Linked DNA regions of Mus musculus: region 2 is reported to be linked to region 1. Evidence: microRNA targets listed by miRTarBase, many of them from high-throughput screens and not tested one by one. Region 1 holds a microRNA gene; the other region holds the end of a gene's coding sequence.

Region 1 (3,129 bases):
GGGGGATTTAGATATACTATTTCAGGATCACTAACTTGAGTCCAATACTAACTTAAACTTGTATTTGATGATGGCTCAAATTCTTAGTGAATTATTAAACTTAAAAGTAGCTTTGCCTTTTCACTATTCTCAACAACAGTCTATGAGATTCTAGTTTGTGTACATCCTTGCTAGAGCTTACTAATATCTTAGAAATGTTTGTGTGTGGTAGTCAGAGGATGACTTGTGAAAATCAGCTCTCCTCACCATGTGGATCCTGAAGATTGAATTTACGTCTTTCAGGCTTGGCGATAGGCAACCTTATTCCCTGAATATATATCTCTAGTCCTCATTACCTTTTTTGATGGATAGCTTTAATGGATGTGTGTTGTCCTGTTTTGGATAGGTATATTCATAATGACTAAAGAATGATAATTTAGATCTTTCCTGTACTTATTGGGTATTTGTGTTTATGAGCCATATCGTCTCTGCTTCTAGATCAGTAGCTGTCTCAGCTCTGGTAAATACCTCTTGCCTGGTTTTTGTTTTTTGAGATTGGGTTTTAATTTTGTAGCTTGGTTTGGCCTCAAATTTACAGCAGTCCTCTTGTCCCAACCTCCCTGGTGCTCTTAATGAAAATCTGTTGACCTTGAATATGGCTTTATTTTTTGAACTGTAACTTACATGACATTGAATCAATATGTTCTTGCTTATCTTTGTAATCTTTACTATTAGGTCACTACATAATTCATTTGTCTCATGAACATCTTTTCCTACTCTTTGATAATTTCACGTATATTTAATGTGCCCATAATTTTGGCTACGATATCACACACCAGCTATAAACTTTCATTTGGTCATTTCATACTGGTACTCTGGGAACTAGGTTTTTGGATTGGGGACATTTAAGCTTCAGTATTAGACAGTGGTAAGAATGTAATTTCTAGATCTTATAACATATTGAATTAGAGGCTTATAGCCCAGGTGTATCATATAATACAATGAAACTACAATATAGGTCATATATGTAACTGTTCAGTTAAACTTCATGTTCAAGTTAAAGTAGTGAAAATCTAATATTTTCTTTTCCCTCATTACACAGGAAACCGGAATTACAAAGGAGAACGGCTTCCTGTGATGCTCAGCTGTGATTACTTTCAACATTCACCCTGGATGTTCTCTTCACTGTGGGATGAGGTAGTAGGTTGTATAGTTTTAGGGTCACACCCACCACTGGGAGATAACTATACAATCTACTGTCTTTCCTAAGGTGATGGAAAAGTCTGCATTCATGGGGTCTCATAGGAAACCAAGAACAAACTGCAGTGTTTTAAAGTATATCTTGCCTTAAAAGCATTTGCTTATGCTATGCATGCTTTTTAATTTAACAAGTAGATGATGGGAATGGGCAAGTTTTTACTTACTTTGCATTCTGTGTCAATGTAAATGAAGATTTAATTTTGATTGATGATGATGATTTAATGTTAACCTTTCTTGAAAGAGACTGATGCTTATTCCAGAAGAAAAACTTGCTCTATCAGAGTGAGGTAGTAGATTGTATAGTTGTGGGGTAGTGATTTTACCCTGTTTAGGAGATAACTATACAATCTATTGCCTTCCCTGAGGAGTAGACTTGCTGCATTGTTTTTATCTAGAGGATATTATAAAACATAGGTGAATTCTGACCTTTTGTTTTATTTTACAGTTCATTTCCTCAGTGCAATAAACATTGTTATAACATTTTTAGTGTTCATGTTTAAAGAAATTTGGACAAATATCTGAATGAGAAAAGTAAGTATCTAGGACCAGGCCTTTTGGGATTATTAATAGATGTATAGTTTTATATTTCTGTTACACATGCCCAGAGAAAGATGTCACAGGTAAATGGGCATACCAACTGGAAGGGTACTGCTGGACTAAATTGAAATCTGGTTATTTTATTATCATACTTAAAATGCTCTGAGTATTAATATTACTTCACTGGTATATTGATTTGGACAGACACAGGAAAGAGGGGCTCTGGCTTCTGTCTTAGTTCTCCTAAGGCCTCAATTTTACCCACAAGACAAAGGAGTCACCCAAAACTCGGTTTGACAAAGCCCATAATTGGTAGCTTTAAAGAAAATATGAGAGGGGTATTTTAAAAGGTGACTTGAATGTTAGCAGTGTTGATGGGCTCATGTTTCAGCTTTTTCTAGTGCTCAAACTATCTGTTGGACCTTCTAAGCAAGGCCAAAAGCTCTAGGTTTTAACTGTTTGCTGTAGTAAAGAGAGGGGGAAAGGCAAAACGTGGAAGCAAGGGCAGTTATATCTAACTATAGTTCAGTGCATTGGTATAGTCAGTATGATCTTTTCATGAATAAAACTCCTTTGGATAAGCTCAGGTCAAGTGATATATCCTGAACCAAATGTAAACTTTTTATTTAATAATCTTGTGTAGGTGGACACTTTGGAAAATTTGGTGTTTGTTACATACAAAACATTGACCACATAGAGGAACAGGTGGGGAATATATACGTCTTATTTAATGCCAAAGAAAAGGAGAAATGTTTAAGATTCTTTTTGGCTTAATCTTTTTGCTTTTTGGCTTTTTCTTAAGTTGACTGCATAACCTACCTGTTGAATGTATTGCAAGTAGCCAAGGAATTTTGTGACCCCTTATTCCTCCAGCATGGCTATCTACCAGTTTGCAGTTTTGTAACATCCTTTACTGAGGCCTGGGGATGATTATTTATATTTTAGTTATGAATTGCATGAGGACTAACATCCTTATTATACCAAATAGATGGAATTTGTAGAACTGGTGTATTTTGTAAAACCACTGAAGTGACTATGCAAAGTGATAGAATCACTTAAAACTGGTCTTTGCCAGTGGTAAAAGTCATGACCTGAATTTGCTTCTGTTTTAATTCAGGCATCAAAAATTGAAATAATGGAGATGCTAGTTATAAGTGAGAAGTATGTGGCCAGTAAATGGCAAAAGCTTTAGGCTCATTTGTTTGACTTGATAAGTAATTTTCTGGTTACCAAGAGGCCATTTTATGAGAGTTGATATTTGAAGTTTTGATAATTGTTTTAAATAAAATATACAGTGGGCTGAGTGTTAGAGATTGTTGGTTTCTTTTTTAATCCTCTGATTAAATTGGATTA
Region 2 (3,074 bases), not on the chromosome of region 1:
CTCAGTATTCACAGTTGTAAAGTAGAGGCAGAGCCAGAAGCCACCTGGCAGGGACTTTTGGTAGCATCGTAAGGGCCTGTCCCTGGAAAGCCCCTGCTGAATGCCAACTGTTCTTGACCTTGGCGTCCCTCTAATGGATGGGCTTCTCTGCCGTTTCACAGGTCTCCAGCCTCCCCGATACCAAAATCGAAGTAGCCCACTTTATAACAAAACTGCTCAGCTACACAAAGCAACTGTTTCGCCACGGCCCCTTCTAATGAGGAGAGACCATCCCTGGGCATCTCAGCTGTGGACTCATTTTCCTTTCTCACATCAGACTTTGCTGGGGAGAGGCAGGGAGGAGGGTTGAGGAGGAAGGGAGATGCCTCAGCTTTGGCCTCAGCCTGCACTGCCTGCCTAGTGCTCAGGGTCTCAGCCTGGCAACACCCCCACCCCACCCCCACCCCCGCCGCCCCATCCCATCCCTACAGAAAACTGCAGCAAGACCGTGAGTCCAGCCTGTGGCCTGGTCCACACAGGGCAACTGAGGCAGGCAGCAGCTTGAGCACATTTCTTCTTGATCTTATTTATTATGGTTGTGTGTTATTTAAATGAGTCTGTCAGTATCCCGGTGGGGACATGGTTTGCTGCCTATGCCCTGGGGGCTCCAGCATTGAAGCAGTGGGCTCTGGGGTCCCTGGCAATATTACTGTATACATAACTCTGCTACCTCACTGTAGCCTCCAGGTCTCACCCCAGGCAGGAGATGGGAGGGGAGGCCAGAGCAACACTCCTGTCTGCCACGGCAGCAACCAGCCCTCAGCCATGAAATAACTTATTGTTTTGTTCTTATATTTAAAGTATTAAATAGCTTAGCAAAGAGTTAATAATATATGGAAGAATGGCCTGTTACACTCAAGGTGATGTGTAGTGAATGGGGGGAGGGTGGTGGGTTTGTCACTGAACAAACTTTTCATTGACTGTCAAACTAGAAACCGGAAATAAAGATGGTGACAGATAGGCCTGCCTGCTTTGGCTGTCTTTTTTTGGGGGGCCCTGGGGGATGCTGCTCTGTGGGCTCCAAACTGAGGAGCCCAGTGTGGGGTAGGCTGCTCAAAGGAGAGATAGGAGGAGTGATGAGCAGGACCTGGGCTGAGAGAGAGTAAGTCCTCTGGTCTGTGGCCGACCGAGGAGACACGCCCCCTGTCTACTGTGGGGGATCCGGGGGAGCTTGGGCCAGGAAATGTCTGGGGCAAGCGGGGAACCTCTTGGGTATCTCCTGATGACTGGCCAGCTTTGTCTGTACCACCCACACAGTCTCAGGTCTCCCTTGCCACCCTAGGAGGGCACATAAGAGCCCGAGGCATGGGCTGGAGAGATGGCTCAGTGGTTAGGAGCACTGACTGAGCCAGGCAGTGGTAGCACACGCCTTTAATCCCAGCAGATGCAGATACAGATGCAGGCGGATTTCTGAGTTCGAGGCCAGCTTGGTCTACAGAGTGAGTTCCAGGACAGCCAGGGATACACAGAGAAACCCTGTCACCACAAAACAAAAAAACAAAACAACAACATCAACAAAAAGAGCCCGAGGCATGATGCGGGCAGGAGGCTCGTCCAAGGCATGTACTGGGAGGAAATAAAGGCTACATTCTGCCTCCTCTTTCAAAAGTCACCCGCCTAAATGCATGGCTCTTTCCAGTATACTGCCTGTTTGGATGTCCCCTGGTGATGAGACATTCACCACTTACTTTCTAAGGACAAACTGTTCAGTTTTGTACGCTGGGATGGACCAGATACATGTGGGGACTAGGGTAGACAGACATGGAAGACAGCACCTCAGAGCAGGTGGCCTGCCTCTCCCTTGCTGGCCCGCAAGCTGGAGTGTTGGGAACGGCTGCATCAGTAAGCGCTAGCTAACATGATGTCTGGTGGCATCCTTGGGAGGTGCTGCCCAGAGCGGAAAGCCACTGAGAAGGGCAGGAAACTTGTGTGGCAGGCGTGGGGTGGGGGTCAGGGACCGCTCAAACTCTGAATGACAGCAGGAGCCCTCCTGGAACAGGCCAGATCTGAGATTCCAGTACTCAAAGTTGCATGTCAACCCAGCAACACCAGATGACATGGCAGCAACTTAGCCAACGCATGGGGAATAGTCTCCCCTTCCTGCCTCACAGCTGACAAAGAAGAGAGGCAGAAGAGACCAAGCAATAGCGCCCAGAGCCAGCTACTCTGCAAGAAAGGGAATATGGATAGCAGGGCAGGACTGGCTTCCAGTCCTGCCAGAGAGGTCACCTTTTCTGAGGACTATCTGTGCTGGCACAGCACCGGCCACCCAGATTGAGTACTGAAGGACATGGTGCCAGACAGAACTTACAAAGGCAGGGAAGAGGATGTCTCCTCCATCTTTCCTGCTGGGAGCCCTGCTGGAGAGTTCGGGGTGAGCAGTGGCCTTCTCTCCTCCTTCTCTACCCATGGTCTAAAATCAAAGATTAAATGGACCATTTTTTGTTGGTTTTTTGCTTTTGTTGTTGTTTTGGGTTTTTTTTGTTTTGTTTTTTTGTTTTCTTGGGGTTTTTTTTGTTTGTTTGTTTTTTGGTTTTTGGTTTTTTTTGAGACAAGAGTTTCTCTCTGTGGCCCTGCCTATTCTGAGACTTGATATGTAGACCAGGCTGGCCTCAAACTCGTATTCACCTGCCTCTACCTCCCCAGTGCTGATATTAAAGATGTGCGCCACACTGACCAGCTTGCTTTGCTATTTTTAAAAAAGGGTGAAATGTGTATGTGTGTGCGCCCATGTATGTACATGTATGTGCATGTGTGAGTGTGCATGTGTGTGTGACTGTGTATGCATATACATATACATGTGTGTATGAGTGTGTGTGTGTATGTGTGTGTGACTGTGTATGCATATATATATACATGTGTGTATGAGTGTGTGTGTGTATGTGTGTGTACCCATGTATGTACATGTATGTGCATGTGTGAGTGTGCATGTGTGTGTGACTGTGTGCATGTGTATACATGTGTGTGTGTGTGTGTGTGTGTGTGTGTGCGTGCGCACTCGTGTAGATAAGCTAGAGGACAACCTTGGGTGTTAT

Evidence for each region. Region 1 holds the annotated microRNA mmu-let-7a-5p (UGAGGUAGUAGGUUGUAUAGUU, at 1,173-1,194, shown strand). A microRNA usually pairs through its seed, bases 2 to 8, with sites in the 3' UTR of a target mRNA and lowers its output. Matches are read on the target gene's strand: a 7mer-m8 pairs with bases 2 to 8, a 7mer-A1 pairs with bases 2 to 7 and ends in A, and an 8mer does both.
Region 2: miRTarBase lists Il13 as a target of mmu-let-7a-5p. Seed matches in the 3' UTR shown: 8mer at 706-713.

What each region holds. Positions count from the first base shown.
Region 1 is chr13:48,536,304-48,539,432 of GRCm38, reverse strand. Mirlet7a-1 (microRNA let7a-1) reads left to right here and starts at 1,161; the gene lies at 1,161-1,254. It overlaps Mirlet7f-1 (microRNA let7f-1), which reads left to right and starts at 1,516; the gene lies at 1,516-1,604.
Region 2 is chr11:53,629,248-53,632,321 of GRCm38, reverse strand. Il13 (interleukin 13) reads left to right here. Exons shown (of 4, transcript NM_008355.3): 4 at 162-999. The coding sequence ends at 257. Among named protein-coding and RNA genes, the nearest start is that of Il13, 3.9 kb to the left of the region's middle.